Rattus norvegicus: one gene and its partner. The protein of the gene in region 1 purifies or fractionates together with the protein of each later gene. This does not show direct contact. Links are inferred from orthologs where the notes say so. Each region holds a gene or a part of one and is shown on either strand. Other genes may lie near its edges.

The links. Proteins that work in one complex are often made in the same cells at the same time.
Region 2: the proteins of Vars1 (region 1) and Eef1b2 fractionate together in Homo sapiens (co-fractionation; 3 studies listed by BioGRID, with this or other methods). This does not show direct contact. The link is inferred for Rattus norvegicus from reciprocal best matches to the Homo sapiens genes VARS1 and EEF1B2.

Annotation. Positions count from the first base shown.
Region 1 is NC_086038.1:3,807,782-3,813,999, reverse strand, and holds the end of Vars1 (valine--tRNA ligase), read left to right. Parts: intron 1-78; coding exon 79-204; intron 205-448; coding exon 449-553; intron 554-633; coding exon 634-702; intron 703-895; coding exon 896-974; intron 975-1,101; coding exon 1,102-1,229; intron 1,230-1,403; coding exon 1,404-1,559; intron 1,560-1,704; coding exon 1,705-1,911; intron 1,912-2,361; coding exon 2,362-2,473; intron 2,474-2,591; coding exon 2,592-2,917; intron 2,918-3,437; coding exon 3,438-3,506; 3' UTR 3,507-3,571; downstream 3,572-6,218. Other genes in the region: Vwa7 (von Willebrand factor A domain-containing protein 7), read left to right, coding at 4,313-4,543, 4,967-5,248, 5,655-5,751. UniProt on the Homo sapiens protein: Catalyzes the attachment of valine to tRNA(Val).
Region 2 is NC_086027.1:72,070,352-72,078,280, forward strand, and holds Eef1b2 (elongation factor 1-beta), read left to right. Parts: upstream 1-3,739; 5' UTR 3,740-3,814; coding exon 3,815-3,894; intron 3,895-4,343; coding exon 4,344-4,466; intron 4,467-4,975; coding exon 4,976-5,102; intron 5,103-5,233; exon of another isoform or gene 5,234-5,311; intron 5,312-5,388; coding exon 5,389-5,455; intron 5,456-5,572; exon of another isoform or gene 5,573-5,704; intron 5,705-5,818; coding exon 5,819-5,944; intron 5,945-6,041; coding exon 6,042-6,196; 3' UTR 6,197-6,240; downstream 6,241-7,929. UniProt on the Homo sapiens protein: Catalytic subunit of the guanine nucleotide exchange factor (GEF) (eEF1B subcomplex) of the eukaryotic elongation factor 1 complex (eEF1).

The DNA of each region.
Region 1 (6,218 bases):
ATGTTCTAACGTGAAGAGGGAGGGGCCTTGAAGGGAATGCTGGGCTTACCTGCATTGCATGCTCTCGGCTTCCCCCAGTCAGAAGATCTCAGTGTGTTCTACCCTGGGACCCTGCTGGAGACGGGCCATGATATCCTCTTCTTCTGGGTGGCGCGAATGGTCATGCTTGGCCTGAAGCTCACTGAGAAGCTGCCCTTCAGAGAGGTGTGAAGATGCTAAGCCCCGCCCCCGTATCTCCTCCCCTGCCTTCTCGGGTAGCTGTTGGTTAAGATTAGCTGTGGTGGGTCTGGCCCAGGGCTTCCTCTTCCCAGTGGACAGGCACTTGTCAGCTACACTGAGACTTGGAGCTAGTAGGGCCACTAGGGACCCATGATCCCCAGTAGGGGGACTGGGGAAGCCATCAAGACTGGGAGGATCGTGGCCTCAATGTCACACTGTGTGCCCCCAGGTCTACCTCCATGCAATCGTGCGGGACGCTCATGGCCGGAAGATGAGCAAGTCTCTCGGCAATGTCATCGACCCCCTGGATGTCATCCATGGAGTTTCCTTGCAGGTAGGGCACTCAGTGGGTCAGTTAGGAACAACTTTGCAGCTATGGCTGAAACAACCTGATGCCTCCCATCTCCTCCTTAGGGCCTCCATGACCAACTACTGAACAGCAACCTGGATCCCAGTGAGGTGGAGAAAGCCAAAGAAGGACAGGTGTGGGGTGGGCTGCAGCGGGTGGGCAGGTGTGGGGTGGGCTGCAGCGGGTGGGCAGGTGTGGGGTGGGCTGCAGCGGGTGGGCAGCAGCGGGTGGGCAGATGTGGAGTGGGCTGCAGCGGGTGGGCAGGTGTGGGGTGGGCTGCAGCGGGTGGGCAACCTGACCCCCCTATTCCCTCTGTGTCCTCTGTAGAGGGCCGACTTTCCAGCAGGGATTCCCGAGTGTGGCACTGATGCCCTACGCTTTGGACTCTGTGCCTACACATCCCAAGGTATGGTCTCCCATCCTCCCCCAGTTGCCTGTTTTCTTCCTTGAAACCTGTGCTCCTCCACCTTGGGCCTGCAGAGGACCTCTCTGAGAGAGAGAATGGGGTGGAGTCAGATTCATCCCTCCCCTAGGTCGAGACATTAACCTGGATGTGAACAGGATCCTGGGGTACCGTCACTTCTGCAACAAACTCTGGAATGCCACCAAGTTTGCTTTGCGCGGCCTTGGGAAGGGCTTTGTACCCTCACCAACCTCCAAGGTGAAGTTCTGGTTGGCGGCCATCTATGACAGCACGCATGCCCACACAGCGTCAGGCGTGGTCCTAGTGCGCCAAGACTGAAGCCGCTGCAGCCCCGCCCCCCTTGCAGTCTGGGGATAGCCGGGTGGCTCCCTGCCCTGGTAGTGTGCTGGCTGACATTGCTCTTCCCTGCAGCCGGAAGGGCACGAGAGCCTGGTGGACCGCTGGATCCGCAGCCGGCTGGCGGAGGCCGTGAGGCTCAGCAATGAAGGCTTCCAGGCTTATGATTTCCCAGCCGTCACCACTGCCCAGTACAGCTTTTGGCTCTATGAGCTCTGTGATGTCTACTTGGTGAGCACTGGGACGGGGCCTAGGCCTGTGCAGCTCTGACCTCAGGCTCGCCCTGAGACTTGAGTTCACCTTTTGTTTTCAGTTCTCATGGGGAGGGGGCTCCAGGTGGAACCTGGCCCTGAGCCTTCTGCCTCCCCGTCTCTAGGAGTGCCTAAAACCCGTTCTGAACGGAGTGGACCAGGTAGCAGCAGACTGTGCTCGGCAAACCCTCTACACCTGCCTGGATGTCGGCCTGCGGCTGCTCTCACCCTTCATGCCCTTTGTCACAGAGGAGCTATTCCAGAGGCTGCCTCGGCGGACACCAAACGCTCCTGCTAGCCTCTGTGTCACCCCCTACCCAGAGCCCTCAGAGGTATGAGGTGTGGCCTAGAGGGCACGGCTGCCCTCCCTTTCCCCCACTCTGCCTCGCAGTGCTCCCCCTCCCCACTCTGCCTCATAGCGCTCCCCACTCTGCCTCACAGTGCTCCCCACTCTGCCTCACAGTGCTCCCCACTCTGCCTCACAGTGCTCCCCACTCTGCCTCACAGTGCTCCCCACTCTGCCTCACAGTGCTTCCCCCTCCCCCACTCTGCCTCAGTACTCCCCACTCTGCCTCAAGTGCTCCCCCTCCCCACTCTGCCTCGCAGTGCTCCCCACTCTGCCTCACAGTGCTCCCCACTCTGCCTCACAGTGCTCCCCACTCTGCCCCACAGTGCTCTCCACTCTGCCTCGCAGTGCTCTCCACTCTGCCCCGCAGTGCTCTCCACTCTGCCCCACAGTGCTCCCCACTCTACCTCACAGTGCTCCCCACTCTGCCTCACAGTGCTCCTGGAAGGACCCTGAAGCCGAAGCTGCTCTTGAGCTAGCGCTGAGCATCACTAGAGCTGTGCGCTCCCTGCGTGCAGACTACAACCTGACCCGGACCAGGCCCGACTGTAAGCCTCAGGCCCCGTGTCCGTCCACCTATCTTGTCCCCCTGTCCTCCAAGGCCCCTTAGGGAACCCAGGGTCTGGCTGTATCCAGGCTTCACTTTTCTCCCTCCTCACTCTGCAGGTTTCTTGGAAGTAGCTGATGAGGCTACGGGTGCCTTGGCCTCGGCAGTGTCGGCCTACGTGCAGACTCTGGCCAGTGCGGGTGTGGTGGCCGTCCTGGCCCTGGGTGCTCCCGCACCACAGGGCTGCGCTGTGGCTGTGGCCTCAGACCGCTGCTCCATCCACCTGCAGCTGCAGGGGCTCGTGGACCCAGCCCGGGAGCTGGGCAAGCTGCAGGCCAAGCGGAGTGAGGCACAGCGACAGGCTCAGCGGCTGCAGGAGCGCCGTGCTGCCTCTGGCTACTCAGCAAAGGTGCCCCTTGAGGTCCAGGAGGCCGACGAAGTGAAGGTGTGTGGTGGGGTTGTCCCAGCATCAGCTGCGTCTGTCGTGCCCTGGTCTCAGCAAGCCCAGCTGCTAGGACCCTGGAGCCCCTGTGGCAGTGGGACCCTAAGTATAGTGCCTGCTCCCGCTTAGGCTCACCCAGAAAGTCAGTTTGTCTCCTGGCGTGGGGTTCCCGAAGGCCCTTGCCCCCCTAGGGTCTGCCAAGGAGGCCCAGTGCTTGGAAGCACTGGCGACACTGAGTGTTCGTTCCCAGGCCCTCTGAGTGAGGGTAGCGTGTGGCCAGGCAGCCTTGGGCTCCTCATAGGTGGGGTCCCTCAGGATTGTGTGTGCGCTCCAAGGCCTTTGTCACTGGGCACTCAGGAAAAGGAGCACTTCAGAGGAGGGTCTTGACGGAGGCGTGGGGTGTGCTGCCTCACTACCCTGACTTCCCGGTCCTCACCCATCTCACCAACCTGGGCTCCTCTACTCTCTGGTGTTTGGTCTCCTTGGGCATGGGTCATCACCATAACCCCTTTTGCACCCCCAGTTACAACAGACAGAGGCGGAGCTCAGGAAGGTGGATGAGGCCATCGCCCTGTTTCAGAAGATGCTGTGACACCCCCAGTTCCAACCCCCAGTGTTCCACCAAACAGGGATGGCAGCAATAAAATATTTTGCCAACATTTTCTCTTGTCTGTGTGGTGTGGGCAGGGCAAGGGCATGCAGAGCCTGGCCTGGGAGTTCCTGGGAGCAGCAGGAGTGTGTCAGCTCCAGCCAGGCCCTGGGTCCTGGTGGGCAGAGGGATGCGTCTGTCTGGGTCTGTCTCTGGCATGGTGCCAGGCCTGAGTCATGCTGTTCTGCCGCCAGCTCCCTTCCTCCCCGCTCACCTCACTGCACTGCGCTGTGGCTACAGAGCCCGCCCTGGCCCCGCCCTGGCTTTCGCTACATCGTGTGGCCCTGGGTTGGCATGAATGGAAGAGGGCCAGGGGCTGCCTGTCCTCAACCCCTTGCTAAGAGCCTCCCTCTCATGCTACTGAGGCCCAGTTAATTATAGCTCTGACCTAAGTGCCCTGTGACGCCACACCCGGGCCAGCACTGCCCAGGAGACCCAGCAACCAGGTAGGAGAGGCCTGAGGAGACTTCCTATCCGTGGGGCAGGGCCGGGGCTCAGCCTGGTGTAGGAGAAGAACCTTGAGGATCCTCCTGTGCTCTGAGGGCAGGTGTGCGCTCTGTTGGCCTCACAGGCCCGTGGATTGTGTGGGTTGCAGGTTCAGGGTGGGGAGCCAGGCTGGTTTAGATGGGGCACCTGAAGCAAGGCAGGAAGTGGGCACCAGGTGCCGGGGAGACAGCAAGACCTGCCCTGGAATTGGTGGCTTCCTTTCCCCGCGAGGTGCTTCTGTTCCCTAGGTCCATGTTTCAGCCATGCTCCCTGTGGAGGTCCCCCTGTCCCAGCTGGGCCCCCCAGTACTGCTGCTCCAGCTGCTGTTGCCCCCAACATCTGCCTTCTTTCCCAACATCTGGAGCCTTCTGGCTGCCCCTGGCTCCATCACTCACCAAGACCTGACTGAAGAGGCTGCACTCAATGTCACCCTTGAGCTCTTTCTGGAACAGCCACCCCCAGGCCGACCGCACCTCCATCTAGAGGACTACAGGGTGAGCAACCCTGTGTCCTCTCTCACCCTTAGGTTTTACAGTTCCCCAGGGTTTCTCAGAGGGCCCTTGTCAAGAGGAGGCTCACCTTTGACCTGCTCATTTCCACACTCCTCCCTCTGCAATTCTGGTCCTGAAATTCTGAGTCTCTCCCCCCCCCCCCCCAGTCTTGGAAAAGTCTGTACCAAGGGGGATGTGGTGGCATACACGGGTAACCCCGGCACTTGATTAAGGAGATCTGTGGTTGGTTTAAGGCCAGCGTGGGCTACACAGTGCCAGGTCAGCCAGTCCAAATCTGCTGCTCCCTCGTGGGACCCTTCACCCTCTATTCCTACCCAGCCTTGAGTGCCAGTTGCTAAGGCACCTCAGGGAGTGGTAGAACCCAAGCGGCCTCTGGAGTCTCTTTCCCTAACCACCCTTGGCCAGGGCCGGACCCTCCTCGCCGATGATATCTTTGCTGCCTACTTTGGATCAGGGTTTTCTTCCCGGAGGTTCAGAGCGGCTTTAGGAGAGGTGTCTCGTGCCAATGCAGCCCAAGACTTCCTGCCAGCTTCCAAGAGCAACCCCGACCTGCACTTCGATGCTGAACGGCTGGTCCAGGGGCGCACTCGCCTGGAGGGGGCCCTTCGGGAAACCCTGGTGGCCGCCAGAGCACTAGAGTATACACTGGCCCGACAGCGTCTCGGGGCTGCACTCCATGCCCTGCAGGTGACTCTCTGAGCTTTTAACCTGCCTCCCCCTCCTCCAGGAGGATGGAGCGCACCCCTCCTAAGCTGGCACTTCCTCTGTCCTGCCGGAGTGACTACAAAGGGGAGACAGACCGAGAAGAAGACCAGGAGGTGGGGGTGTTAGTTTAATCCTAGGGATCTCCCTAGAAAGTCTGTGGCTTAGACTCCAAGACAGAAAGGCTGGTGTGCGTCCGTTTGAGCAAAGCTCTTTTCTAGACCAGGCGAGCAGGAGAAGCAGGGGGGACACACTTTTCTGGGTGGGGACACCAGCTCAGGGTGTGTGGGCTGCAGGGCAGGGTGTTGGGCTCTGGGTGACATATCAAGATGTTGGCCCTGACTAGATCATATCCGTCCTTGTTCCCCCTTCGTTCTCTCCTGGGGACCAGGATTTCTATAGCCACAGCAACTGGGTAGAGCTGGGGGAGCGGCAGCCACACCCTCACCTCCTCTGGCCAAGGCGGGAACTCTGGAGCCTGGCCCAAGGTATGGCCTTGATCCAGTCTAGAGGTGGGAGCTCAGGGAGCCTCCTGTCCTCATGCACCCATTACCTTGTGGAGTCTCAGGATGGGGTGGTGCTTTATCCCCGCAAGGGTTGAGCTTCCTCAGTCTAGCTAATGGCTACACAGGTTCTGTGGCTTTCTCGGCCAGACACAGGGAAGCATCCAGGACCAGCTCAGACCTCAGAGTGGTCTTGCACGTGGCCTTTTCCACCCACCCATGCCAGCCTTATGGCTTTCTCCCGAAGCTCCATCTCACTGGGAGCTGCATTCTGTCCACTATACAATCATGGCCTGCCTGTGTTTCACAGGGAGCAGAATCCCCAAAGGATTGGTACCCACACTGTGGATTGTGCACATCGGGCCCCAGTCTCAGATGTCCAAATGCTGACCCTGAGGTTTAGTGCAGGAAAACCTGGCCAAGGTGTCTGTGGCCTTTTCTGTCTTTCCAGC
Region 2 (7,929 bases), on another chromosome or scaffold:
GTGAGTTCTAGCAGCCAGGGCTACAAAAACCCTGTCTCCAAAAGTAAAGAGAGAGGGGGGGGGGAGAGTATGTGTGTGTGCGAGAGAGAGAGAGAGAGAGAGAGAGAGAGAGAGAGAGAGAGAGAGAAGAGAGGGAGAGAGAGGGAGAGAGAGGGAGAGAGAGAGAATAAATTATTTTAAAGTTTTTTTTTAAATCGAAAGTAAAGTGAAGGATGGAAATGTGGCTCAGTGGTACCAAGTGTGAGACAGCTCTAGGTTCAATAACCAAGACTAAAAAATAATTTAAATGAAAGGCCAGAGAGATAACTCAGAGGTTAGCATTGTCATCCATCACTGAAGGAAGTGAGGGCTAGAAGGAAGCAGTTTCTTAATTGAGGTTCCCTCCTCTCAGATGATGTTAGCTTGTGTCAAATAGACATAAAACTATGCAGCACAGTCTCTAAAATCCTTTTCTACAAATTTCTGGGATTACAGATATGTTGTTTTTCTGTTTGTTTTTACCTTTTAAAGATAGTAAAAAAAAAAAGTGATGAGTATATCAACATTAAAAAAACAGTAAAAATGTTTCTCAACAGCAGTAGCAGTACTAATAGAAAATAGTTCAAAAAACAGATTTTTTTCCTTTTTAATAATTAAAAAAAGTGTTTGTTATGTGTTTTGTCTGCATGTATGTCTATTCACCTCAAGGAGGCCAGGAGAGGTTATCAGATCCCTTGGAATTGGAGATACAGACAGCTGCTGAGCTGCCCTGTAATTTTAGGGAATCAGATCTAAAAGAACAGTCTTAACCACCCAGTCATCTTTCCAGTCCCAAAGGTATAGCCTAGGCAGGTCTTGAATTCATGATCCTCCTGTCTATACTTCTTGAACATACGCTGGCATGTGCTACTACAACTGGCTTTTAGCTGTGTAGAGACCAGGCTGGCCTGAAACACACAGAGATTCACCTACAGGCCTCTGCCTCTTAAGTGCTGAAATTAAAAGCATGTACTACCACTTCAGATAAAACAGAATCCTAAACATTAAAGTCTGTAGTTATTATAGATGATATATAATTAAATATTTCATTAGCTTATAATTTAATTTATTTAATTAATTCTTTAAAAATGGAAATCTACAGTTTACAAACTGAATTTGCAGATACCGAGTCTGTTATCTACTAGGTATTGGTTCTTTACCTATAGAGCAAATCTACACTGTTTCTTAGGGTATTATTACTAGGTCAATAATAAAAACAAAGAAAAAAATTGCAGTAAAAACAGCAAGGCAATCAGTAATGGCTATTAACAATCAGTTGTACAGCGATCTTTGTTTGTGGCCCTTTTTCTTATTAAAAACACACCATGTATATATTTTATTATTCTACTTACTAGAGTTGGACAGAGCAGGTAGCTTTAATGCAGGACCACTTCCTTTAGGCTGCACTGGACTATATCCGTAGTACAAACAACAAACAAACCCACAGTACTAAACTGAAGGTGAATCATCAATATTGTTAGCTACTGGACTGTAAGTTCCTTGACAAAAAATTTGGCTATTTCTCTTTTCTGAAGACTAGCAAGTCCCCAAGTAGTTTTGCCACCAAATTCCAGAATGAGCAGTTATCTATCTCTGTTTTAAATGGTACTGATGAGGCTACGCACAGCAGTCTATGCCTGTGGTTGCAGCACTGGGGAGCCTAAAGCATGAGAATCAGGAGTCTGAGGCCAGTCTGAGCTATATACATGGGACCTCATCCCACAAAAACAGCCTGCACTGCATAAAGAGTCTGAGGATAACCTGGCTTATGCACTGTACAGGTTGTTTTGCTGTGGTTTTTTTACTTTGGTGGGTTTTGTTTTTTTTTTTTTTTAGATATATCTCATGTACCTCAGACTGGCCTCAAACTTGCTATGAAGTCAAGGATCAACTTGGACTCCTAAACTTCAGGCTTCCACTTCCCAAGCAAGGGGCAGAATTAGCAACATGTACCACCATGTTCAGCTTCGTATATGTTTTATTGTTGTTGTTGACATTCATTTACTTACTGGATGAAGGTTACCATATACACACAAGGGGGTGGGGCAGGCGCATGAGGAAGTCAAAGGCAACTTTTGAAAGTCAGTTCTCTCTTTCCATCAATGTGGGTCCTGGAGACCTAACTCATGGATGCCAGGCTTAGCAAGCATCGTTACCAACTAAGCTATCTCACCAGCATGCATTTCAGAATATGCATTTCAGACATGGTATCTATCAAATAGGAACAGTAGAGTCCTTACCTAAGCATGCACAAACTCCTCCATTCAATCCTGTCCCAGCCTCCCCCGTCTAGGATTACAGATAAGCACCACCACACCCTGGCATATCTCTACTATCTTGGCTGTAACTAATAAAAATAAAGGGCGTTGATGTTCTGGCTTAGAATAATAGATTCAAAGATGCAAAACTCAGTGGGGGCTGGGGAGGAGATTCCCAGAAATTTTTGTTTCATCTTAAGACATGAATCTTGAGAACACTGCAGCTTCCTGATTTGCAGTGGGACTCAGAGCTAACTTTTTAAGATTCACTTTTAATTTATGTGTGCATGTGCTTGTCTCTGTGTGGTTATGTGCATTTATAAGTGCCGGTGCTCACAGTCCAAAAGAGTGGCAAATTCCCTGTAACAAGGCAGTTGTCCCCCTTCTGACGGAGACAGTGGGAACCGAACTCGGATCTACTCTACAAGGCACTCTTAACCACTTGGCTATCTCTCCAACTCCGACTGAGCTTTTAGTTTTTGTCATTCTCCCCGTCAGTGGAATGAATAAAATACTACCCAACATCATCAATGAACTGGACAAAATAAACAGTAGTGTGGGCAGTTTCAAGATAGCAACTAAAGAGACGCCTAATGTTTAAGTCTTTCCTGACACTGGGAAATGACCCGGTCTCCTCCAGACAGGGCCATCTCCTGTCTTCCCCTGCAGAGAGAAAGTAGCTAGCAAGCCGGAACTCCCAAAGGTTTCCTGATCATCTTGCTTATGCTCCATCAGACCAGAAACTATGGCTAGTAACCTTCACCTGCCGGTTCTCCGGGGTTCTGGAGGTGGCGGGGCAGGAGGTGGTGCCCAGTCAAGGACAAGAGGAGAATGACTTGTTTGACCTAAAGAACACAGTCCTGCTAAGAAAGAAAACACCACTCGAAGCACTTCAACTTTCTCTCTTAAACGCGTCCTCACCTTTCCTCTAGAGCTCACCAAGTTGTCCCGCTGATTTGTCCGGATCCCCCTGACCCCTCAAAACCCAGCCGCTAAGTCAATATGGCGGCCACGGCTAACTCCGTCAGCCTGACCTGGCGGACGGAAAGCCAGGAGGGACAACAAAGCCAGATTCGACAATCTCCCCTCTTTGGACCTGTTCGGCAATTTCCGTCAGCACGAGAGGGAGCCGGGAGAAAGCGGAGAAGACAACTTGGACCTGCAGTTCCGCCGGAAGTAGCCGAGGCCTTGAGGCCGAATGCTTTCGTTCAACTCCGGCTCCTCAAGGGGCGTTTCCTTTAGTTTTAGAATCCTTGGAGGTAGGCGTTTTAAAATGCATCTTTTATTAATTTCCTTCCAAACACAAGGAAAAGCCCGCGGACGACCTGTGGGTCGTCTAATTCACAAGACGCAGTTTTACGTGAAGGAACGAGACTAGTAACGTACTTTGACCTTTAACCTCTAGCCGGTGCAGTGGAGGGAAACGCCTCCGTCTCTATATAAGGACTTTTCCGGCCGGTCCCGGCCCTTTTTCTCCCTCAGCGCTGGCCGCGGGCTTCTAGCGCTCTTTTCCTCCGCTCCCGGTTACAGTCGACGCCATGGGTTTCGGAGACCTGAAAACCCCCGCCGGCCTCCAGGTGCTCAACGATTACCTGGCGGACAAGAGCTACATTGAGGGGTGAGCCGGGAGCCCCGGGGGCCACGTGGCGCGGGCTCGGCGGGAGGGAAGCGGGTCGCCGGAAACTAGGGGAAGCCGAGTTAGGTCTCCCGAGTCTCGGATGCCACTGGAGCAGGACCTCCCTGGAGGGGCTGCCAGCGCAATAATTGAAATAATGCTTGCTCTCCGTGTAACTACGTTCAGCCGGTTCTTCCGCGTCCTCTGACTAGTTAATTTAAACCTGTGGCAAGCCCGAGGTAGCCTTTGAGTTCTCCCAAGTGGTAGAGAATTCTTGGCTTGTACAGATTGAAACATATTTTGTGCACTTCCGATTAGAAGCAATTTAGGTTAGCCCTGTAATAGTTCCCACTAGTAGTTAGTTTGGCGGGTATGGGCTGTGTCATTTACCAGTTAGGTGTTTGTGTCTTTTCTTTTAAAGGTGCGTGTACTTGTTTTTGTGTTACCTGCAGGTACGTGCCATCACAAGCCGATGTGGCAGTATTTGAAGCAATCTCTGGTCCACCACCCGCTGACCTGTGTCATGCTCTGCGTTGGTATAATCATATCAAATCTTACGAAAAAGAAAAGGCCAGGTAAAAGTATCATTGTGCTACCTGGATTTTCGCATGGCAAAGTAGGACCGGGGTTAAAGTTGCTTTAGCATTGTTGACCTAGTGTAAACCAAATTTCTTTGTGACCTTAAATTAAGGCCAACAGACTGAAGTTCTCCATTTTCTCACAGAACAGGTAGAACATGGACAGCTGCAGTTTACAATTTTCCCACACCTCATTAATGTGTTTTGACCTGGGGGAGGGGCACCACTGGGTTGTGAGGGTAGCTGATTTAATTCCTGGCCATTCTTCTAAAACTAAAGAATGGAAGTGGGGATATATAATGAATCTCATTCAGATGTTCATTTTGGAAGAGTAAACCATTGAGTACTGAATACTATGTCTCCTTTAAAGTCAGGTCATTTACCTGGGGTTGTGCTAAGGTTAAGTAACCAGAAGAGATTGTGAGTTACTGGAAAGGAAGATTGTGTGTTTTGCCCAGAAAGAGCTTTGACACCAACCTAATGTTGTAGAATGCTTGTTTTTCAAGCTTGCCGGGAGTGAAGAAATCTTTGGGCAAGTATGGCCCTGTCAGTGTGGCAGATACCACAGGAAGTGGAGCAGCAGATGCTAAAGACGATGATGACATTGATCTCTTCGGATCTGATGATGAGGAGGTATGCCTTTCTCTTTATACAAGTATATTGATAAGGCAGACAGTCTTTACAGCATGACTAACTGGTGCTGTAGCCACTGCCCGGACATGGATCCTGCCTTGGCTTTATTGTCTGCCTTTAAAAATTTATCACTGGGTACATGATGAATAAAATCGAATCACCATCTTTCGGCTGAGCTCCTGATGGATTTGCTTTTTTCTGATGTCCAGTCATTTTTGTGATGACCTTGTCACTACATTTAAGCAGAAGATAACCAACTTTGTGAAATGTTTTTTTCTCTGTACAGGAAAGTGAAGACGCAAAGAGGCTACGAGAAGAACGCCTTGCTCAGTATGAGTCAAAGAAAGCTAAAAGTGGGTAACTTACGGTTTATCTTCATTGTTAGTAATGTGAATGCCTTTGTCTAGTGCTTGGCCTTAAAGTGGGTTTTCCCCCAGTTAAATTGAATGGGTCAATATTTTATTTACATCTTCCACAGCTACTGGTCTGCAGCTGTCTTTATGGTAGCAGTTGTAGCATTCCTCTGTGGGAAAGAAACTGTTACACAATTTAATGCCTCTTTCTTAGCCACATAGAAAGAGGAATATGCGTGACAGACACAAGGCGAGTTGTGTACGTTTTTGGCAAGAAGGTGGCCTGTTTCAAAACAAACAGATTTGACTTAATGGTGAAAATGTTGAGTATTTAGGTGTCGTTCATTTTTTCACCTTTTTTAGAGCCTGCAGTTGTTGCGAAGTCTTCCATCTTGTTAGATGTGAAGCCTTGGGACGATGAGACAGACATGACGAAACTTGAGGAGTGTGTCCGAAGCATTCAAGCGGACGGCTTGGTGTGGGGCTCCTGTAAGTGATGCTTGTGTTTGGGGGTTGGAATTTGGGCATCTTCAGTTTTCCTATCACAAAGAGTTTCCTAACTTTTTTACCCCTTGATCTTTTTTAGCTAAATTGGTTCCAGTGGGATACGGAATTAAAAAGCTTCAAATACAGTGTGTAGTTGAAGATGATAAGGTTGGAACAGATATGCTGGAAGAGCAGATTACTGCTTTTGAGGACTATGTACAGTCCATGGATGTGGCTGCTTTTAACAAAATCTAAATCATCCTTAAGTCTGTGCACTTAAATAAAAGCTTGAAAGATAACCCTTGACTCTTCATTTGCTGTGAGAAATGATATACTTTGTTTTGAAGAAAAGGTGAAGTGGTGGGGACTTGGGCTAGAAAGAGAAATTTTGCTCAGCATTTCAAACCACTTGGGCCATGGTTATCCAGACCAACATGAAGTTGCCTTTTAGCCAACACTATCGTGTCATAGATATAACTAAAAAGAAGATAAAAAATGTGTTATTAAAAATTTAGCGGGGTTGGGGATTTAGCTCAGTGGTAGCTCAGTGGGCCTTAGCAAGCTCAAGGCCCTGGGTTCGGTCCTTAGCTCCGGGGGAAAAAAAATTAGCAATTAATTGTCACCCGATGTGTTCAATACCTTTTTGAAAAGCAGAATGAATCTTGGGCCACTAAGCTGACTCCGAGGGTGCTTACCATTTGGTTCAATCCCTAAAGATAGCGTTATGTCCTGAGAGGAACATTGTATAGGTTTATAAGGTGGTCAAGTGTGGAGGTCTTTCCATTGAATCTGGAAATCTGAACCTAGAGCTGCAGGAAAGTGCTGGGATAAGCAGTGTGCTAAAAGCTACTTGTTGGAAACATTTGTGGGAGATCATACTGCTCAAGAAGTACAGCATGGGGGGCTGGAGAGATGGCTCAGCGGTTATGAGCACTGACTGCTCTTCCAGAGGTCCTGAGTTCAAACCCCAGCAACCACATGGTGGCTCACAACCATCTGTAATGGGAGCCGATGCCCTCTTCTGACAGGCAGGTGTAGATAGACCACTCATATACATACATAAAACATCTTTAAAAAAAAAGTACATCACAGCATTTCAGCTTTGTGTTAAAAATTTGGTACATACAGTAACTAAATGTATTTACCATAATTTTTAAAGTTTGGGGTTTGTGTTCTGTGAGCCAGGTGGTGGTAGTGCACATTTTTAAACACAACACTCAGGAGGAAGAAAAATGCAGACTCGTGGGTTCAAGGCCAACCTGAGTTATAAAGTCCATGAGAGTTGTGTATACAAAGAAACATTGTCTTAAAAACAAAGTTTTCTGTATTTTATAGATAGGACTCTAGAAGAATAATTCAGTTACTTCAGTCAGACAGTACTCTTGCTCTCAGTCTGGTTTTATGTTGACTACCTTCAGTGAGGGAAGCTTCACGTTCATACATAGATTCAATAAAACATGTACTAAGGAGAATATACTTCAACAGACCCGTCCTAAAGTAGTAGAAATTTTTTCCAGGTTAGAATCATGAGGGCCAGCAGAGGGCAGTATTGTCAAAAGCCTGAAAGCAGAGAAAGGGTTAGAGCAGAACTGTTAGAGCCTGCTGCAGAGCATGTCAGAAGCATGAGAGCAGGCTGGGGGCCGTAGCAGAACCAAGAGAGCTGGCTGGGGCCCTGTCAGAGTCACGAGAGCCGGCAGAGGGCACCACTTGGTATTCTAGGGCTTCTGGAGAACAGACAAAGGTACATTTTATTCATCTTATTCTCGTGTCTCTGTAAACAAAAGAACAAGATAGAATTGTGCTGTCAGTGCATGCTCTCTGAAGAGCATCTATACCATCTGGAAACATGTTTATAGTAATCTACACACTTGTACTTAGCTAGAATTTTCCATAATCATGATGTTCTGGAGGACTAAGAATGAACACAAAATTGTAGACATATTTCATAAAGGGGCAAAGAGTCTGTCCCCTTCCTTTCGTTCTGAGCC